3 linked regions of the Saccharomyces cerevisiae S288C genome follow. The protein of the gene in region 3 interacts with the protein of the main gene of each other region in a biochemical or structural test. Each region holds a gene or a part of one and is shown on either strand. Other genes may lie near its edges. The genes, in order: PUF4, KAP120 and HO.

Region 1 (8,015 bases), on a different chromosome or scaffold from region 3:
TAGAGAGAAACTACTCTTCGAGGTACTCGAGATTTTTAACGAAACAGAAATGAAATATGATGCTATCAAAGAGCAAACTGGAAAATTGTTCGATATTGCATTCTCTAAAGATAGTACTGAACTCAAAGTTTCAAGAGAGGATAAGATTATGGCTTCAAAATTTGTTCTATTTTACGAGCACCATTTCTGCAGAATGGTTAACGAATCTGATAATATTGTCGCCAGATTATGCGTGCACAGAAGGCCCTCAATACTAATTGAAAACTTGAAAATATACCTTCACAAGATTTACAAATCATGGACCGATATGAACAAAATCTTATTAGACTTTGACAACGATTATTCCGTATACCGTTCGTTCGCCCATTATTCTATCAGTTGCATTATTTTGGTATCACAAGCATTCTCAGTGGCCGAATTCATTAAAGTAAATGACGTTGTGAATATGATTAGAGTCTTCAAAAGATTTTTGGATATAAAAATTTTTTCCGAAAATGAGACCAATGAGCATGTCTTCAACAGCCAAAGCTTTAAAGACTATACAAGAGCTTTTTCTTTCCTGACAATCGTCACTCGTATCATGCTTTTGGCATACGGAGAGTCCTCTAGCACCAACCTCGATGTTATCTCCAAATATATTGATGAGAATGCGCCAGATTTAAAAGGTATAATAGAACTTGTCTTGGATACAAACTCTTGCGCTTATCGATTTTTATTAGAACCTGTTCAGAAGTCAGGATTCCATTTAACGGTCTCACAAATGTTGAAAAATAGAAAGTTTCAGGAACCACTAATGTCAAATGAAGATAATAAGCAGATGAAGCATAATTCGGGAAAAAATTTGAATCCGGATCTCCCAAGTCTTAAGACGGGCACTTCATGCTTACTAAATGGCATTGAATCGCCTCAATTGCCATTCAATGGTCGCTCAGCACCTTCCCCAGTGAGAAACAACTCACTACCGGAGTTTGCACAATTGCCTTCATTTAGGTCATTATCCGTGTCTGATATGATCAATCCCGATTACGCGCAACCAACAAATGGGCAAAATAATACGCAAGTCCAATCTAATAAACCAATCAATGCTCAGCAGCAAATACCCACTTCAGTACAAGTACCATTTATGAACACAAATGAAATCAATAACAACAACAACAACAACAACAACAATAAAAACAATATTAACAATATTAACAACAACAACAGTAACAATTTTTCTGCAACTAGTTTTAATTTGGGGACACTAGATGAATTTGTTAATAACGGTGATCTTGAGGACCTCTACAGTATCCTGTGGAGCGACGTTTATCCAGATAGTTAAACGTATACGTTTGTATAGATAAAAGTTCTCAAAAACTTCCTTCCTTTTTTTTTTCTTTTGAGTTTACTTATTTAAATAAGAACATTCTGTTTTCTAGGGCATCTCCTTCTCTTATTTCTTCAACACTATTTACCAGTATACCATAAAGTGAAAATTCCTATTTTTTTTGCTTTGGATATTCATTTGATCCTCAACGAAAAAAAAAATGATGTATTTTAGTATTGTACAAAAGATATTATATGAGGCTAACGTAAAAAAAGCTAAACTGAGGATATATGTATCAACTATGAATCTAAATGTAACATTCCGATGATTCTTTTACCATGAGGTGTATTTCTTATGGGGCCCACCAGTAAAGGCGCCACAATCTCTGATAGTCTTTTATAGAGATAGTCATTTTGCTTATGAGAAATGTCTAATGCTGTCTGTAAAACGTAATTTCCGTAGCTATCATTCAACAATGATTGAATACCCGTCTCGCCACCATTATTTAAAATTTCCAGAATCATTGGCTCCGAAACAATAGCTGTCTTCAAGATTTTTTCAATCACATTTGATCCAAATTTATGGATAGAAAGTTCGATGGCTCTTGGTTTCAACAGGTGGACAATTTTATGCGTATAATCATATTTGTTCTTCTCAGCCTCTTTGGTAATTATATATTGCACCACATAGTTGCCAAATGGATCCAAAGTTAATTTATCAACAAGGGCTAGCAACTTATCACACAGATTGTCACATTGTTCTGTAGTCCCATGATCTAGACAACGTTGCAAAACGCAACACCCGTGTCTATGAGTAGCAATATCAATACAGCTATCAGAGATTGCGTCAAAGATAAACTGGAAGTTTTCAGGCTTCAACCTTTGCAAACATTTTTGAATAACATGATTACCATTTAAATCCTTACTCAACTGGACAGTATAAGGGCGTAAAGAATCAACAACAATCTGTGCTTCTTCATCTGTTTTGATGCATTCAATGAGTTTTTGTAATGCCCTAGTACCATGAGGGTTTAAGGAAATTTCGACAAAATGAGGGGAAGATATTTTTGTGAGTACGATTCTTTGTTCTGTGGTAACCTCTTCCAATAGCTTCTGGATCAAATAATTACCGAATGAATCAGTCATCAATTCAACCGTATAATCCTTAGTTTCTTCAAAAATTGCGTCCGCCGCCTTACTGCCGAGAATATCCAACTGCTTTTGCAGAAAACGACAACCATGTTGGTCTTTACACAATGAGTGAATACTTCCGATATATTGGTCTAAAACTGCGTCCGCAAATCTCGACGACTCCTCAATTTTACGTTGTTTTTCCGCGCTGTTGCTGTTGGTAGCATTACTGTTATTATTATTATTGTTATTATTATTATTATTATTATTGTTATTATAGTAGCCATGATAACTGTTTTTCATATTTTTCATTTTACCAACGTTAGAACGACCTGTGTCTTTATTGTTGTAATTAGAATTACCAATGTTGTCATTGTCATTATGACTTGACATGCTATTGTTATTACGACCATGATGTTTATTATTGGCGCTATTCATTAACGGCATATGATTTTGAGCCAACAAATGAGGCGGAACCATTGCGTTGAAGGGAGGTGGAGTGCTATAAAGCCAGGGAGGAGGGGGGGTGTTTTGCTGGGGAGGTAATATGTGGAAAGGTTGCATTGATGGCCCAAGATTAGGATTTATTAAATCCATCCTAACATTTGGACCCGCCTTGTCGTTATCGGTGGTGGGCTTACCACCATCATTCTTCATATCTGAAAAGGCAACAGAATTTGAACTAGGGTTTAAAACTGGTGCAAGATGAATTGGCGATTGGGTTAGAGGAATTGGAGAATTTGCATTTAGTGAATGACTCGTAGGATTTAAAATCGGAGAGAAAGGTTGAAATTGCGCGCCCATTTCATAAGAATTAGGAAAAGGTGATCTAATACCATAGATAGGGGAGGATATATTATGTGGGTGGCCTGGCATAATAGGATTTGGTTGAAGTAAAGGTCCCCCATATGGATATGCTGCACCATAAGTTGTAGGACTCTCTTTTTTAGCTGGTGCAGTTTTATTAATCAAATCCTCCTTCGAGGTTTCTATTTTGAAATCGGATAATTTCTCAGAAACACTATTGGTTGGGGGTATAAATGACGTTGAGGAGGGAGTATTATCAAAAGATATGGATTGAGTTCTGGTTTTTGCAGTATTGTTAGCTCCTACAGACGGTTTCTTAGCCTTAGAAAAATTCTGCATGTCAGATTGGAAGTCCTTTGACAAGGTTACATTGTTGGCCGCATTGATAAGGTCAGTTGGTGATAAAGCATGAAAAGTTTGTCTTCTGAACGAACTAGCCTTATTATTAGACTCCCTGCCCTTAGATGGTAGGCTTTCTTGTAGAGTAGCGGTGGTTTCTTCAATGGCTACAGATGCTGATCCTGGTACGTTTGAATGAGTCCATAACGGATCAGCCGATGCGATTGGCAATACCTTCATTGAATTGTCATTTATCAATGGGTTTAGATTTTGTCCACCTTGAGTTGCTACCGCAGCACCCGAAGACAGCATTTGAAATGGAAGTGAGTCATTCTTGAATAACATTGGTGGACCGCCTGCATTCAAGGGCGAGCTACTCAATGGTGCTGTTGGATCATTAAAATCAGGGGGCGGAAAAAATGGACAAGGATTATGAGGAACCTGCATCATTTGAGAGTAGGGCATGAAGCCCATTCCACCCATCATTTGTGGATGTGGAAACATTTGCGACGGAGGGCCATTAGCGAATTGAGAATCTTGAGAAACTTTATTCGCAAATGCATTAGAGGTGGCGTTTTCCTCTGGATCATCTAGTTGCAACTGCTCTAAAGCAGAATTGACTGTTTCTGAAACGACAGGGTCTACTGATGGTACATCATCGATTTCTTCTTTCAAACCTTTTGTAGACATAACGTAGGTCCACTTAAAAATGTTACAGCGCTTAGTTCTCTCTTTCTTAAAAGATATCGAGGACAAAGAAACAGTAAGAACGGAAAATGAACAGAGACTCTTAAAAGAACCTAAAGAATAAGCGAAAATAAAATATGAAAAGAGAACTAGTGGACAATATCAACAGGAATTTTAAGTGTACTAAAAATAAATCGTCTGGAATAGTGTACAAAAACGAATAATATTAATGACGGCTCAAATCCTAACGTTGGAAACTAAAATACAATAAAAATAATGTACAATGTAATATACGGAAGAAAGTTTTTTTTCTGTTTCAACAAAAAAAAAAACTATTCAAAAAAAAGACGTGAGGTACTGTTTGCTGTTCACCTTCGGAGAGAGATAACCAACCGATATTCTCTTTGAGTCTGAGTGATTTGTTAAACAAGGTGCAACGAATAAGAATATAACTATACTATCTACTATATTGATCATTATTTTTTATTCTCTGGAGGACCCCAGAACAAAAAAAATATAGAAAAAAAACAATCGTCAAGAGTGACAAATACATGAGTAATAAGAAAAGGCGTCACAAATTAAAATTTGCAGTCACAAAGAGAAATAGACAGAGAATAGACTGTCTGGAATTAAGATGTCTTTTCTATCTGAGCTCCCAACAAGGCAACGGTATTGGACAGATATAATTCACAAATCACAATTCACTCCATGGAAGACACGATACGTCCATTAAATTACGCAGATATCGAGACCAGCGGGCCCATAAACCTTCTTGAGACAACTAATAACCTAAAAAGCTCGTTAAAAAAGTTTTCACAAAAGGCAAAGGGATCACACATTTCCAGAGAAAGGATTCACCATTTTAGAAAATGGAAAAATAAGACCGAATCACTTTCAGAAAACCATTTGAAGCCTCCTCCTGACGTCGACTCTCTATGTTTCAGTAACTGCTTTCAACCTGACGCCCTGTCTGGAAATGTATTTTTACCCCCCAGAAGCTCAAACATGTATTGGAATGAAAAGCAATTACAATTAGAAATGGAAATTCTAAAATTTTTATCACTAAATACTAGCAATGAATGCTGCACTTCTGATGATTAGCTTTTACACACATATATACTGCTACTATCTTTAAAGCACAAAAAAAAAATCTATCAAAAAGGATCAACGCATTACTAAATAAAATGTAACAAAGAATAGCCTTCACCCTCAGCGGAGAAATTCTTAACAAATCATCCTTGGTAATTTGGAAGTGTGGTACAATCCAACCACCACTGCAAAATAACATTTCCAGCTGCTCTGCTTCCTCTCGTAATAAGTAATTTATTAATAAATTTTTCATGACCTGCAGGATTGTTACATATTTGGGGCAAAACAGCAACGAGCCACTCTCTTGCTTCAATTGGAAACTTGGCTACCAAAGCTCTTAGCAGATCTGTGTAACTATTCAGATCGGACCTTTGTGTGTGGAATAAGCCATACATAATTTGGTACACAAGGTCTCCTCCTATAGAGGAAACTTGTTGCCTAACAGTTGTGAGTTCTTCTTGGTTGTATTTCTTATTATTGATCAACTTAGTCCAAAATTTTGCCACCGCAACAATTGTGAACTTTTCTCTTGAAGGTATTAATTTTAAAAATTGAGGTAAAATAAATGATGTCCAATGTTTACTGCCAATAGCTAAGCCTGGCTTCACGTCCAAAACGTTATTAACAAAACCTATTGTCATTTGTAAAAGGTCCGGATCATTGATAATATATGCATCATAATAGACTAGAAGGATCTTTTCAAACATGAAATCAAATTCTTGTGGTGTTAGTTCCTTCCTGAACTCTGAAATAAGCTTTTCTAATAAATAAACAAAATAAGGCAAGCAAGTAGCAAGCTCACAGTTGGGGACATGCCGCAAAACAAAATTCATAACTTCAGACATATTGTACTTGAGGAAGTACGGTTCCCCGTCGGGCAGATTTAATCCTTTACCAACAATCAAACAACCGATCTCCACAAAGGCGGAGTTTTTACAATATATTGAATTATCCAAGACCTTATCAATGGTGCACATAATTTTCGATCGGATTTGTAAGGGATCGCTGGACCAGAAACTTTGAAACTCAGATAACCTTTGTAGTAATGCATCATTTTCGATGATTTCAGTAGGTTGGATCAAACTTGTTGCTAGCTCAGATATACAGTATAATAGACAATTAATATAATCTTGTTGTTCTTGTAACTGTACCGATGAAGCCAAACAATGCTCTATTGAGCCGCTCAATAGGTTCGTCAATTGTAAAATATATTTAGCTTGCTCCTCTGGACCGTTGGAGACTTGACATTGAACGACATAACCTATAGATCTAACCAATTTAGTTCTAGTGAAATGTGAAACATTGGAGTCTGGCATAATGACTGTGTTTAAAAAGCTTATAAAATGCATCAAATATGGAGTCAACTCCTCACGGCATGTCTCACATAATGTTGAAACAGTCTTGATAACCATAACTTCAAGTTTATCGTTCGAAATTTTTTCTTGTTCGTTTTTACTAGTAAAATTGGTGCAAGTGTGCAAACCTTGAAATAAAGCTTCCACGTATGGGTTTAATTGAAAAGGTTCCTGTTTAAAATAACCAGCCAAAGTGCCGATTAAAGTTGTACTTGTTCTTACGAAGTCAAGTTTCAAAATTTGACTGACTTTTGTACTGGCACTAGTTTGGAAACCAGTTTGGAAGACGGATATGACATTTTGGTTGAAGAATTTGTTGGCATCAACGATATTTTTAATCCATGGGCTTTCTGATAGAGTCATATCAACCAATATAGTATTCAAAACAAAACACATCGTTTCAATTCGAAACAAAACATCAGTATCCTTGATGATGAGAGTCTCATCACTCGCAGCAGGCATTTGGCCCATACCATCAATTAGCACATTTGTTAAATTATCGTTTCCCAAAATAGACCAGAGAGATTGAGCAAGGTCACTGACAGCGTTTCTAAAATCTTCAAATTCGTTCACAGAAGTGCTCTCACCCTCTTCTTCAATTATTCTTTGTTTCACACTCAAAGAAATTTTGGGTAAATAAATATTGATCAACTGCTGAAAAATTTGTGTAGACAGCTCAATAGAATTTGGCCTCAAAGTTTCGCTAGCCAAATTAGTGTAAGCATCCGATAAATCCAACCAAAAATCAACCATTCTAACAGAAAAGAACTCTTGTAAGACAGGAGTTAAAGGGAAATTGGTCATTTGCAAAAGGACTTTGATGTATTCCTGAATATATTCATCTTGAACTTGACCATTATCAGCTGCTTGAATGTTAGTAAATAATTTATTACAAACACTTAACGTGTTAATTTGCAAGAAATCCACAATACAAATGGCCAATTCCTTCAATTCGGAAAAAAAATCATTGGTAACTAAATAATTCATATATTGTAGCATCCAAGAATTTTTGTTAGATATGTCGGTTATGCCAGAATCAGGCCTTACTACACCTAAGAAAATACACTCGATTTGTTGTCTCAAATCGTAACTCATTAATAATGGATCATTAGCAAAAACATTACCAAATATTGTTAGGATCTTTTCCGCATTCTCATAACCGTCCGATCCTTCTGTAGACTGATACATCAAGTCAATCAGGTTTTGAAAAATTTCCGACAAATCCATTCTACCACTTGAAGATACGCTTCTGGTTAATGAGATATAATTAATCCAAGCAGTAATACAATCAAATACGGTAGG
Region 2 (8,147 bases), on a different chromosome or scaffold from region 3:
TTTGACCTTCTTCTTGTTTAGTTTAATAATGCCGGAGGGGCCCTTTGGTTGCACTAACTCGCCGTTTTCAACACATTTCTTGATAGCGCTATTGAACAGATAGTCAAAATTTGAGCTTGTTTTCAACTTGGAGGAGAAAGTGTCCTTGACATACTTCTTTAAAACGATACGGCTGGAGCCCTTACCGTCATTAAGTTGAGGCATGCTTTTAAGGATCATTTCCTTGTAGGTCAATGAAGAAGGCGAAGAGGCCTTCTTGGCGGTAACAGTAGGCGATTTTTTTTTCACTACTTTCTTTGGCGCTAGCTTCGTGGATGCGGCTTTCGCTTTTGATGCGGTTGCACTCACAGAAGTGGCGGCTTGCTTGGGTTTTGGACTGACCTCTTTTTCTTTCTTTACTTCTGGAGATTTCTTCTTGGCCAGTTTCACAGCACCAGCGGGTCCCTTTGGCTGTTCAAAATCGCCGGCCTCCACACCCTTCTTTATGGCATTGTTGAAGTACAAATCAAAGTTGCTTGCGGATCCGACGATCGGGTAGTTTTCCTTGATAAACTTCTTGAGTGCCGGACGACTGGATCCCTTACGTTCCTTCAAAGCCGTGAGCCCTTCAATGATCAACTCCCTGTAACTCTTGGAGGAAGCTTCCTCCTTTTTTGCCGTGGTTTTCTTGATAGCGGCCTTGGAAGTTGATTTCTCCTTGCCTTTGCTGGTTGCAGGCTTCTTGCCCTTACTTGTGGTCTTGGTAGTGGATTTCTTGGGTGCCATGTTGCTTTAGTTGTATTATAATTGCTTCCCTCGCTGCCAAGCATTATCAGGTGCCCATAAATAACAACTCCCCAAATCTATAGTTGCTCCTCCTCTTTAAATAAAGGCAGATAAACAAAAAACTTTGACCGCCCGCTTTTCCACACAAAAAACAAACAACAGCAGAAAACGCGACGCGAAAATGAAAAGCCAAAGAGAACAAACAAAAATCATCCATCAAACCTGTTATTGTGCAGAATAGCTTTTACCTAGACGCAAGTCCCTAGGAGGGGGCATTTTTGACACAGAATAGCATTTCATCAAAGCAAACAGCAACTTCTTGGAGATTTGTATTGCTTGGCATGTCAAAATCTAGCGGTCACATCAGTAGGGTAACAAAATAGCACGTCAGGGTTAAGGCGGCCTACTGCTTAGGGTACGTGGTAAGTGATGTAAAATGTGAGAAGGAGAAACTAGAAAAAAATTTTCCTTTCTTTTTCCTAGCGATGAGATGAGATGAAATTTTTCGAACAAATGATTTTTGGCACAGTTTACATATCAGTTATATTGGCTGTCGTCACAGGAACTACAAGTACAAACCAGAACCATTTTAGCTGATCACCAGAATGACGCAATCCCTAGGTATCGAACAGTATAAACTGTCAGTCGTATCTGGTGGGAAACCCGCTTTGAATAATCTCAGTTCAGTAACCGGCAATAAGAATATCGCCCGCCTATCACAAGACCAACGAAACTATATTATACCCTTTAACAATCAGATCAAGGTGTATTCTGTGGAAACTAGACAATGTGTTAAGACTCTAAAGTTTGCAAATAACTCCTTGTTATCCGGAATATTTCTGCAAGAAGAAGAGAATAATGAATCGATTGTAAAGATTCTGCTGGGTGATATAACCGTTCCGCAACAAGAAGACGCTCATCTGATTACCGTATTCACCAATAATGGTCATGTAATTGTTTTAAATTATAAGGGGAAGCTGGTCGAGTCCCCTAAGCATTTCAAAATCTCTTTGGCAGATGAAAAGCTTGCAAATGTTTTCCATAGCGAGGGCAACTATAGAATTTTGACAACGTTCAAGGACCCTAGTCAAAAGGCACATAACTCTTTGCAATCGTACAGGTTATATGCATTAACCTTTGACGATGCTAAAAAGCAATTTGAAGTGGCTCATCAGGCAGAATGGCACAACGTTATCTTGTCAAATATTTCTTCCAATGGTAAACTGCTAGCGCATATGTGCAAAGACGTCTCAACAAAAGATCACGAACACAAATCCATCTCAGTTGTTTCGCTTTTTGATGATTCTGTAAATTTAAGCTTTCCCCTCGGTTCCATCCTTTCTTCACAGACTCAATCCCTATCCTATAACACAAGGTACGTTTCTAGCATGGCCATAGACAATATGGGTCAACAACTGGCTGTTGGATTTGCCTCCGGAGTTATAAGTATCGTAAGCCTGGCCGATCTACAAATAAGACTGCTCAAATGGCATATAGACTCTGTGCTGTCACTCTCATTCTCTCACGATGGATCCTATTTGCTATCTGGTGGTTGGGAAAAAGTTATGAGTTTATGGCAATTGGAAACAAACTCTCAACAATTCCTGCCTCGTTTGAACGGTATTATAATCGACTGTCAGGTATTGGGACCTCAAGGGAACTACTACTCTTTAATCCTACAAATGACTGAAAACAATTCAAATTCTGACTACCAATTTTTACTTTTGAATGCTTCTGATTTGACCTCCAAATTGTCGATTAACGGGCCATTACCGGTGTTCAATAGCACCATAAAACACATTCAGCAACCAATCTCGGCCATGAATACCAAGAACTCCAACTCAATTACCTCTCTCAATCACTCTAAGAAGAAACAATCTAGAAAACTAATTAAATCGAGAAGACAAGATTTCACCACTAATGTAGAAATAAACCCTATTAACAAGAACTTGTATTTCCCACACATTTCTGCTGTTCAAATTTTTGACTTCTATAAAAATGAGCAAGTTAACTATCAGTATTTAACATCAGGTGTCAACAATTCTATGGGTAAAGTTAGATTTGAACTGAATTTACAAGACCCAATAATAACTGATTTGAAGTTCACCAAAGATGGGCAATGGATGATTACATACGAAATTGAGTATCCGCCAAATGACCTCTTATCTTCCAAGGACTTAACTCATATCTTGAAATTTTGGACCAAAAACGATAATGAGACAAATTGGAATTTGAAAACGAAAGTAATAAATCCACACGGGATAAGTGTCCCAATTACCAAGATATTGCCTTCACCAAGATCAGTTAATAATAGTCAAGGCTGTTTAACGGCTGACAACAACGGTGGACTGAAATTTTGGTCCTTCGACTCTCATGAGAGCAACTGGTGCTTGAAAAAAATTTCTTTACCAAACTTTAATCATTTCAGTAACTCCGTTTCTTTAGCTTGGTCTCAAGACGGGTCTCTAATATTCCATGGTTTCGATGACAAGTTGCAAATTTTAGATTTCGACACTTTTAAAAAGTTTGAATCATTGGAAAATACAAAGACGGTCAGTGAGTTCACGTTAGACTCTGAAATCCAAACCGTCAAGTTGATTAATGACACAAATTTAATAGTGGCCACCAGGACTACATTAAACGCCATCAACTTATTGCGGGGTCAAGTCATAAATAGTTTTGACTTATATCCGTTTGTTAACGGAGTGTATAAAAATGGTCACATGGATAGGCTTATTACTTGTGACGAAAGGACAGGCAACATTGCCCTGGTTATAAATCAACAACTAACTGATCTCGATGGCGTACCAACTATCAATTACAAATCCCGTATTATTATATTCGATTCTGACTTATCTACAAAATTGGGTAATTTTACGCATCATGAATACATATCTTGGATTGGTTGGAATTATGATACTGATTTCATATTTTTGGACATAGAATCAACACTAGGTGTTGTCGGAACCACTGTGAATACTCAACTATCTGATGAAGTTAATAACGAAGGAATATTGGATGGCCTGGTAAGTAACACCATCACAACTTCGGCATCCAATAGCGATATTTTTGCAGAACAATTGCATAAACTGTCGTCTAGGGGCAAAAAAAGTGACACTAGAGATAAAAATACCAATGATAACGACGAAGATGAAGAAGATATCGCTTTGGAATTTATAAATGGCGAAAAGAAAGATAAGCTAGTCAATATGAATAGTTTTACGAGCATGTTTGACAACATTCAAAACGTGCAAATGGATACATTTTTTGATCGTGTGATGAAAGTATTAACATAGCTTTAGGGTTCTTCCATTGGATATCCAAAATAGATATAAAGGTATATATATATATATATATATATATATGTTTATAAAGCAAACCGAAAGCAAAAATATCTGTATAACTTAGTTACAAGGGAAGGGAAGAGAATGCATTGGTTAATAGGAACAGACACTTCGTAAAAAGCTTCACAATCATTAATGTTAATAGAACTATCATAATATACAAAAAATCTCTTCATACGATTTTTGTTTGATGAGCATCCTCAGTCAAGATGAATAAAATAATCTCTCCAAATAAGCCGCCTCTTTTTTTTTGAATTACACTTCTATAGCGTACATTTCCATGTAAGAAGATTGAAGTTTCAAACAATTGGGTAGCTTAATATTTGTCAAACTTCTTGGTAGGTGTTGTGTTTAAGAAAAAGGAGGCACCATAAACTATTAACTTTTTAGCTTGCCTCAACTGTCAACCGAATCAAATTTTAAAAGGCGTTAAACAAAAATGGCCTCGTCTCTTAACGAGTTAAACTTGGTTCAAGTACTTGAACAAGCAAGTAACCCACAACATATTAGGTCAGATGTTCAAAAATTAGCCGAACAACAACTAAGACAATGGGAGACTCAAGCGGGATTTCATTACTTATTACAGTCAATCTACCTTAATTTATCTAATTCTTTACAAATTAGATGGTTGGCGGTAATTCAATTTAAGAACGGCGTGGATAAATACTGGAGATCCACTAGAATTAACGCTATACCTAAAGATGAAAAAGCCTCGATAAGAGGTCGTCTTTTTGAAATGATCGATGAACAGAATAATCAACTTTGTATTCAGAATGCCCAAGCTTCCGCAAGGATTGCAAGGCTAGATTTTCCCGTAGAGTGGCCAACCTTATTTGAGGATCTAGAAAACCTATTGAACGATGAGATCATCAGAAAAGATTCAGTTAAGATTTACAATATATTGATGCATATAAATCAAATCGTTAAAGTATTAGGTACTGCGAGAATAGGAAGGTGCCGACCCGCTATGCAAAGTAAAGTTCCTTTGATATTACCACTAATTGTCAGGATTTATTTACAATCATTTGAAGAATGGACGACATCCTCCAATCTCAACTACGAGGATCTTTCCAGTTTACAAGTTTCTTACCTAGCTTTGAAAGTGCTCAGAAGGATAATTTGTGAAGGATACGACCGCCCTCAAACCGATCAGTCTGTTTGCGATTTTATTAAACTATCCGTTTCACACTTTGAGATGTTAATTTCAAACCATGAAAACTTCAAAAAGTTTGATATTTACGAAAAGTTTATCAAATGCCTAGGAAAGTTATATTTCAATTTAGTCACTGGCTCTCCGGCTAATTTCATATTACTGCCATGCTCTACGCAAATTCTAATCACTTATACTAGGCTAATTTTCGATAAGGCCCCTAAAGTATATAGAGAGAATTCTGATGTCACGGGGGACTTTTGGGAACAGACTGCTATTAGAGGGCTTTTAATTTTGAAAAGGGTCATTAATTTCATTCACAAAAAGGGGGCAATTACGTTAAAAGCAAGAAGTGATAAACTAACCATAGATGCTTCTATCAACAAAATCAACACAGAATTTCTGAATGAGAATTTGATAACAAGGTTGGTTGACACTTTAATGGAATGGTACTTGAGGTTAAGACCAACTGAATTAGAAAATTGGTTTATGGATCCAGAAGAATGGATAAACGAACAAATGGCCACGAGTTACGAATATCAAATCAGACCATGTGCAGAGAACGTTTTTCAAGACTTAATGAATACTTTCTCTGAGCTGTTGGTTCCCTACCTGTTAAAGAAAATTGAAAATGATGCTTCAAAGCTATCAAACTCATTAGACGATTTTTTAAGGAAAGACGCAATTTATGCAAGTTTCCAATTAAGTGCATCCGCTGTTAGTGAAATGGTAGATTTTGACAGGTTACTAATTCAGGTTTTTTTACCAGAAGCTACAAATACAAACATATCAGGCGACGAATTAAGGATTATCAGAAGAAGAGTTGCTTTAATTATAAACGAATGGTCTACTGTGAAGTGTTCGGAAGAATCTAAAAGTTTATGTTACAAGTTATTTACAAACTTCCTGACAGATGAAGACGACAAAGTTGTTTTGTTAACCACAGTCCAGACTGTCAGAACCATGGTTGATGACTGGAACTTCAACAAGGATACTTTTCAGCCATTTTTAACTGAAAATGTTCATTTATTGTTGAGGAAAATTTTACCATCTGTGTCGTTAACCGAGACAAGGCTATATGTTTTAAACACCTTGAGCGATATCATAATTCAAACAAAACCTTTAATTAGCAGGGATCTATTAGTCGAAATTTTGCAAATCATACCAAACCTTTGGGAAATAGCAACAAATAATGCTAGTGAGGCTATTTTGGCAAACGCATTGTTAAGGTTATTGAGAAATTTGGTATCATCTTTGGGATCACAGTCACATTTAACGTGGGATATCGCCATACCTGTGGTTGCATTAGCCTGTGATCCCTCTTCTATGCAATATCAGTTGTTAAGCGAAGACGGGTATGAACTATGGGGCATGCTTCTTCAAAATTTTTCATCCCACGATCAAGAGTTTGACGATAAGTTCGTTGAATTGGTGCCATTTCTAAAGTATGGTATTGAGACACACACAGAGATTCTCCCAACTTTACTTGAAATTATCAAAAGTTATGCTCTGATTCTGAATCCTGTGGATTTTTTCTCTAACAACACATTTCAAGATATTTTTAAACAAATGTCTAAATATCTTTTAAAGTTAAGGGAAGATTCATTTCAGTTGGTTTTAGAAATCTGGGAAATTTTGATATTATCCAATGAGTCGGATTACGAAAATCTGTTATTGCAAAAATTCTATGAAACCGGAGTATTATCAGCATTATTCGATGCCATTTTCCTGGAAGAAGCTCCTTCATCTTATTTATGCTCGCAAATCATTCAAATCATCGCTAGAATATCCTACGTGAATCCAGACGCCTTAATGACTTTTTTAGCTACATATCATGACAATCTACCAACTTCTAACGAAAATGCACGCATGCCGGAATCAATAAGAAAAATTGTGTCTAAGGATCAGACGTATGATTCCGTTGTAAACAAGCTTTTAACCGGATGGATAGTATGTTTTAGAGATATCTTTGATCCTAAATTCAAAAAAGTTCACATATTAGGTATTTCAAGTTTACTAAGGACTGGTTTAGTTCCTATTTTGACTGAGTTTTCATCCATCGCATCTTTATGGATCGAAATGCTCGAAGAAATTAATGAAACTAATCGTGGGGATTGCGAAAAATACCACTTGAATGATATTGTTACAGAGCAATCAATTGCATTCCATCCTTTAACTGCCGAACAATTAAGATATCATCAATTATGCAAAAACAATGATCCAGTGCATAACATTAGTTTAAAAGATTTTATTTCCCAATCAATGGAATATCTAGAATCACATTTAGGAGTAGAAAGGTACCAAGAATTTTTGAAGACTATTAACCCTAGTTTACTAGAGAACTTACAAATGTTTTTATCCATCCAGCCTCAAGAGGCTCGTCCATGATAGTAATAAGTACTAAATAAAAGTAAAAAATTGTATATAGTTCGACTAACAACATTACAGTGGTATCTTTTGATCGCGCATTCTATACTTTTATTTTGCTACTAATTAGATGTCGCAGTTTTTTTTGTTTGCTTTTTGCGTAATACAAAAACAAACGCGAAAAGTGTTCATGTAATATAATGAAGTAAACCAAGTCTCACGGAATAAAATCACCTTCTTCCAATTTTGTAAAAGTTTAACCAAAGATCCAAAGTGGCTTGTAGGAATAATGGATTATAGTAACTTTGGAAACAGTGCCAGTAAAAAGTTTCAAGACGATACTCTAAACAGAGTAAGAAAAGAGCATGAAGAAGCCTTAAAAAAGTTGCGAGAAGAGAACTTCAGTTCAAACACGTCAGAATTGGGAAACAAGAAGCACTATAGAGCACAGGAAAGGATGAGTTCGCCATTACATAGATTGTCTCCCACAGGTAAATCAGACGATAGGAAAGTGAAGAGCC
Region 3 (6,935 bases):
TTCCAAGTCCAAGATTGAAGCTGCTTTGTCCGATGCTTTGGCTGCTTTGCAAATCGAAGACCCATCTGCTGATGAATTGAGAAAGGCTGAAGTTGGTTTGAAGAGAGTTGTCACCAAGGCCATGTCTTCTCGTTAAGACTGCATTCATCACATATATATGAATATTACTTATATTGTATATAAATTTTGTTTTCTCTTAACTTTGTATCCTTAATAAAATAAAATTCACAAGTATCACAATTAAAATATTTGTTTTTCTTTCGCGTAAATATTTAGCTTGATAACTGTTACTGATATGTCTGAGGAAAGTTGATCAAGACCCAATAATAATCTATATACTGGTTGAAACAAATCAGTGCCGGTAACGCTTTTTGTATCTTGAGATGGCGTATTTCTACTCCAGCATTCTAGTTAAGAAAAAGTCTAAAAATGGTTTTTTTCATCCAAAATATTAAATTTTACTTTTATTACATACAACTTTTTAAACTAATATACACATTTTAGCAGATGCGCGCACCTGCGTTGTTACCACAACTCTTATGAGGCCCGCGGACAGCATCAAACTGTAAGATTCCGCCACATTTTATACACTCTGGTCCTTTAACTGGCAAACCTTCGGGCGTAATGCCCAATTTTTCGCCTTTGTCTTTTGCCTTTTTCACTTCACGTGCTTCTGGTACATACTTGCAATTTATACAGTGATGACCGCTGAATTTGTATCTTCCATAGCATCTAGCACATACTCGATTTTTACCACTCCAATCTTTATAAAAATACTTGATTCCCTTTCTGGGACAAGCAACACAGTGTTTTAGATTCTTTTTTTGTGATATTTTAAGCTGTTCTCCCACACAGCAGCCTCGACATGATTTCACTTCTATTTTGTTGCCAAGCAAGAAATTTTTATGGCCTTCTATCGTAAGCCCATATACAGTACTCTCACCCTGGAAATCATCCGTGAAGCTGAAATATACGGGTTCCCTTTTTATAATTGGCGGAACTTCTCTTGTTTTGTGACCACTTCGACAATATGACAAAACATTCTGTGAAGTTGTTCCCCCAGCAACATTACAGTCGTATGTAAATTGACATTGGACTTTTCTTCCTTCAATGATTTCCTCCCTAGCTGACCTGGTCGTCACAGTAGCTGACATACCAAGAGATCTTGAAATATGGACAATTCCGTCCATAATGGATGAATAAACAGTTTGAATTGCTATTTTATAAGATTCAGGGCCTTCGCCCTTTTTCACAACGTACCCATCTGAGTCGATCAAGCCGGCTAAGAATGCTTCACGAACTTCTATATGCTCGCCGTACATAAATTCAGGGATTTGCTTCTCTCCATCAAGATCCCTTTTAAACTTTAAAATTGTGACAGCTTTCCAGAATGGATTATTTTTCCTCAAATTCCTTGTCTTCCTGTTTTCATCTGGACCATCTCCATAATGAAGCCTTACATGTTTGGCACGTAGCGGAACGTGATCGTCACAAACCGTAAGGTAGAGACCCCAGATTTTCGCATTTTCTCTTAAACTCTCCATTAGCTTAGGATCCAAGCTATCTACTGAGATTTCTGGCTCTTTTGTTGTACTGTCACCTAACCACAGACCAAGCATCCAAGCCATACTTTTTACAGCAGGAGTTACAAGGTCACTACGTCCAGTGAGAAATTTAGATAAAACACCATTTCCTGCGAGTACTGGACCAAATCTTATGCAGCTAGAAATTCTCAATTGAGCATCAAGATAATCCAAATCTCTAACTTCAATGTCAAAGTTGAAATATTCTCCTTTAGAGCGCTCCATTTCTTCTATGAAGCGTTTTGCGGCAAACTCACCTTCAACTGTCATTGGGAATGTCTTATGATGGTTTTTTGGAATTATTATTATCCTACCATCAAGCGTCTGACATTGCTGCAGATTTCTCCATCTCACTTTATATTTGGTGGCATTTCTACCACTTTTTTCCAACAGTGGTTTGGTAGGGACCCTGACTGACAATTTATGACCTGCAGTACATTGTAATGCAAGACGCTGATAAACTGTTCTACGCCTGGGATCTAACCTACCAGGTTCACCTTCAAAAGCTCTGTGTTTGGTTTTTTGCTGTATATTATAGATTTTCTGATAGCCCTGTGTGACATTTATGACGCGGGCAGCGGAGCCATCTGCGCACATAACGTAAGAGTTAGCCGTGACGTTTGCGATGTCTTTAATTTCACCGTTAGCCATCAGAATAGTCGTGTTTTCAGAAAGCATTTTAAAGTATAGATAGAATTGATTGCTGCTTATGAGGATATGGATTTAGAGCTAATAGTTGTAATAGAAATAAAAGCCATTTAGAATAGGAATTGAATACAATTTTATGAGCTTTAAATATTTAATGATGAATAGTGCGTTTAGAACGCTTCATCATGCTTCAACAAGCTTCTGCAAACCTCATTTGAGTAGCAATAGCTGTTTACTTTTTTCCGCGACTTTATTCGAAGTTATGGTGAACTTTTCGTGGTTTCACACCTAATAACGCCCAGCGGTAGTACAATTCAAAGTAGTAGGTACCAATGGTAGTACTAGTGGGTGATAGTAGCAAATTTCTCTATGAAAATGAATTGTTGCTCTGCAATGATGTTAATGTGGACATGACATGAATTTTCGCGATATGTTGATGTAAATAATAACATGATTTTCGTGGATCATTTCGTAAACCATAGGTTTATTTCGTGAATTACTAAGAGAAAGGCATAGAAACAGGACTTGCGAACCCTTTCTGTAATATGTCATAATATTTCAATACACGCACAAAAAAGGTACGTTAATTTCCATGGTAATCGTGTATTTAGTTACATCACTTTTCGTGACACACATGAATACATTTGCCCTTAAGCCCTGTGTAGGATTGATTTCTTTTTTCGTGACGCACATGTCTTCAACTGCATCAATTTCCATGAGACACACACGTCTACCATGTTGTCAGATCTCATGAATCTTTCATGTATTCATTCACATCATTTTCGTGGATCCTCTAATTGTATCGAGATCACTTTTCGTGATCCGCTAATCAGCGACGGTCACATTAGGTTTGCCAAGTCAGGGTATGAACCATACGATCAGTTTTCGTGAACCTGGTACGTATATTGTGGCGTTTGTGTATATTTTCATTCTTTGACAACAATCAATACCAACCTCAAATAGGAAAAGTAATAAGTTTGGCGTTACACCCCAAAAGACGCCAAACGGATCGAACTTACTCAATAGCAATTAGCGAGACAAAACCTACGTTAAGACCTGTAACCGATTTATCAAAGCACTCTGCGGTTCTTTCTTGGGAATATTACCTGGACATTTTGTGCCCTCAAGAAACGAGGCTCTACGAGCCTGTTGGAGCCCCTCAGACATTAGCCGCCACGAATCAAACTTTTTACGCGATTCGGCCCAAATCAGTTTCTCACAGATCATTCGTAGAGTGAAAAAGCACATCGATTATTTGATACCCCTTTGGGTTAATTACTGTTGAGGTCTTTTCTATTTCTGATTGAAATTTTTGCTCCAGCATTATAGCATGCTGGTTTTTTTTTTAAATTGATGTATCTCATCGCAGGCACGGGCAGTACAGTGCCCTGAGCGTAGGGAAAAATGAAAAAAAGGATGTAACTTTTAACATAATTCCAGCACGCAGCGATTGGGTATAATGAAGATTGTTAAGTTCAACAACATGTGAAATTCTTAGCTCCGCAACTTGCTTGAATTATGAGCTCTAAGATTCAAGAAGTAAATAGGTCATATAATGGAATGATAGTAGTACTTGATAAAGGAACCATGTGATCTTACGTTGATATGAAAATAATTCTCTCACAGAAGTCAGTTTGTATGACTAACATAGAGAGTAATTGCTTTTCGGATAAAATCGCACCTAACAAAGATTACCTTTTGTAAAGCCTCCAGAACAGCTATGAATGTTCGTTATTCTACGCACTTTCTTTCATACATCTTGATCCGCCTTTTTTGATGTAGGTTTTAACGCGGCAAAACATATTAATTTTTCTGATTTGGAAAAATAAAGAGTTAGTTCTGCCACGCCATTTTAAGTCCAAAGGCACAATTTTACGTTGGAACTAAACGGTAAAGATCAAATATCACCTTTATTCTTTTTTGGTATGCATCGATTTCTTTGCCAGTAAGAACTACGTGCAACTCTACATTAGATCAAAATATAACGGATCATAAATGCAAACAACATTTGTCCAAAAGAAACAAAAATGTTGGCGTTTGTCTCGAACATGACACAATACTCCTTGATCGAGGGACATTGCCCGATTAACTATGATTTATACTTTTTACTACAGGTACTCGTTCTCCCTACTATTTCACCAGTATACGGTCGTTTTATGATTCATTTATTGCCTATAATGGTAAAAAGGGACATCTTAACCTTACGTGTTGCAATGAGACCATTCTTTTCGATTCATCAACTGTGAAATTTCTGAAATCCAGTACAATGCGAAACGCTACCGATAATGGCACCGTCTTTTGAATTATGAGGCCCAGATATGGCGTTCAATCTTCAACAAAAAAATGAATATCAAAACTAAATTCTATCTGGATAACAATCTTTCTTTGGTTTGCAGAAATATCATTAAAAAACAATCCATAACTACTAAGGAAGGGTATAAATGGTTTGGTTTACTAATTTTATATTTTGATTTGATTAGCAATTATAATCTCTAATATACTATTTCTGTAGCCAAAAATCTGCAATGTCAATAAGTAGCAAGTGCCGCTTACTCGTGAGAATATCAACCTTATAGCATATGTTTTCTATTTTTTTTTTTTGCTTATGGAGATAATGAACATTGTACACATGAACAAAGTGGTAGTTCTCTCTCCTTGATTTTTTGTGCTTGCGATATATATAATTGTTACATTCAATGGCCATGCTAAATAAAGGTTTTAGCTTTGTTTCACTCGTGCCCAGGATAATTTTAAGGCGCAAACATCCAAATAATGAAGAAAAGGATAACGATTGTCCCAGGTCTAAAACATTTTTTAATAATAGCCGTCATTAGCCTTGCAACAGTACAACAACGCCGATGGGAAAGGATTGCAATTCTATTTGTAATTAATAGGTTGTATAATAATTTACGATATGGCCTTGTGGTAACTATTTATGAATACTGGTGTAGACTTATTTATAATCCTAGAGAGTAAACCTCTTCTTGTCAAGATATGAAAAATACAAATTTAGAGACAGAAGTATTACGTGTAAACTTTACAGAACCACTTCTCCATTATAGCTACAATGTGAATTGAACTTTCCTTGAATGTTGAGAAAAACTATATTAAAATTAGAAATCGTCCCATTTGTCCTCGTCCTGTTCATTCTTCTTATCGTTATTATCAATCTTTTGATATTCTGTATGGGTTGTATTCCCTGCTGTAGAGCTATCCTCTGCATTACCATTGAAATTTTTAGTGAAGTTACTAAATGCTTGGAATCCATAACTACTCGTTTCTTGAAACTTTTGGCCAAACTGGGCAGCTGCTCTCTTCGTTTCTTCTGACAACTCTCCGGATTGCCATTGCTGGACGTGAGGCTTAATAACCGTTTCGTTTACGTCCTCGAACGATTTGGTTACAGCGCTGGAGAAGAGGCCCCATCCTCTGCTCAATGTTCCCAAAGGATCAGCTTGAAAATTTTCCAGGCTCAAAGTATTGCTGGACCCTGCAGACCGTTCTTGTGGAGGTTTTGCGGGTGTACTTCCAAAGCCCTGATATTTACCACCTTGAGAAGGGGGCAAATGATCTGGTCTAGATTGGTTCTTCTTGCCCAGCTCAGCAAAATAAGCTTCGTTCTTCTCCTTTTGAAAATTGGCACCATTACTAGAGTTTGCTGGTGTTGCAGATCGACGGTTCTCCAGTGGTGTCCCTTCTCGACTTTGAGCAACACCAGGCGTAGCGGATGCAGCGGTTTGAGAGGTTGCTGATAACTTGGAAGCATCAAAATCCAAATGCTCACGCTCTTCAAATACTCTATCTTCGCAAAGACATGTTAACTTTTCTTTATAATCCTCTGCGACGGGGTTATCGTATTTCACTTTTTGTGGTAAACTCAGGTCAATATTATGCGACTTGAACCATTCAGTCAAAGGTTCGTTACCACCTTTTTCCATACGAAGAAGTTCCTCCGGTTTAAACTGATCCATAGTGATAGATCTTACAAAAGATATATGCACACCAAGCCCTCTATGGATACCGGCACATTCAAGGCAAATGAAAGCTCCAAACTTAGGCGTGGCCCATTGTGGATTTGGCGCACCACAATCCATACATTTCTTATTTGCACCAATCTTTTGCAATTGCAAAAGACGCCTGCGGGTATCTGGGTCCACTTTCCAATCTGACATGCTCTATAATCCGCGATAAAATTGCTCAATTGGCACCATTTAAACTCAGAATCACGTCCATATTTCTGCTTTCATTCTTGATATAGTTGTGCAATTTGGTTCTTGACAAAAACTGGCGTTGCTTGCGGGTAACCGCGCGATTTTTAAAGTGCCAAACTGCGAAAAGAATATAACAAGCTTTCGAGCAAGATCAATGTACCCAGCAAGTGAAATAATAAAACAAGAGCCCCAAAGATCTGCTTATAATTGCTAGAAAAATATATTATTAATCATGAGCACTGCTTCAACACCGCCAATTAACTTATTTCGTAGAAAGAAAGAACATAAACGTGGGATCACATACACAATGTTACTATGTGGGCCAGCAGGTACAGGAAAGACCGCCTTTGCTAACAATCTATTGGAAACTAAGATCTTTCCGCATAAGTATCAATACGGTAAATCAAATGCTAGTATTAGCTCTAACCCAGAAGTAAAAGTTATTGCTCCGACAAAAGTTGTTTCATTTAATTCGAAAAATGGGATTCCATCT

What was found.
Region 1: the proteins of HO (region 3) and PUF4 are reported together in a solved structure, tested with the Saccharomyces cerevisiae proteins (one study listed by BioGRID).
Region 2: the proteins of HO (region 3) and KAP120 form a complex in vitro, tested with the Saccharomyces cerevisiae proteins (one study listed by BioGRID).

Annotation. Positions count from the first base shown.
Region 1 is NC_001139.9:462,398-470,412, reverse strand, and holds PUF4 (Puf4p), read right to left. Parts: upstream 4,273-8,015; coding exon 1,606-4,272; downstream 1-1,605. Other genes in the region: drug-responsive transcription factor PDR1, read left to right, coding at 1-1,321; BIL2 (Bil2p), read left to right, coding at 4,978-5,370; KAP122 (Kap122p), read right to left, coding at 5,502-8,015. UniProt on the Saccharomyces cerevisiae protein: Is not essential for haploid growth, but may affect diploid formation.
Region 2 is NC_001148.4:308,840-316,986, forward strand, and holds KAP120 (karyopherin KAP120), read left to right. Parts: upstream 1-4,548; coding exon 4,549-7,647; downstream 7,648-8,147. Other genes in the region: HHO1 (histone H1), read right to left, coding at 1-765; NAN1 (Nan1p), read left to right, coding at 1,371-4,061; SPC29 (Spc29p), read left to right, coding at 7,916-8,147. UniProt on the Saccharomyces cerevisiae protein: Functions in nuclear protein import as nuclear transport receptor. Serves as receptor for nuclear localization signals (NLS) in cargo substrates.
Region 3 is NC_001136.10:45,771-52,705, forward strand, and holds HO (Hop), read right to left. Parts: upstream 2,262-6,935; coding exon 501-2,261; downstream 1-500. Other genes in the region: Hsp70 family ATPase SSB1, read left to right, coding at 1-136; GTPase-activating protein GCS1, read right to left, coding at 5,345-6,403; septin SHS1, read left to right, coding at 6,675-6,935. UniProt on the Saccharomyces cerevisiae protein: Initiation of mating type interconversion. This protein is a site-specific endonuclease that cleaves a site in the mat locus on chromosome III.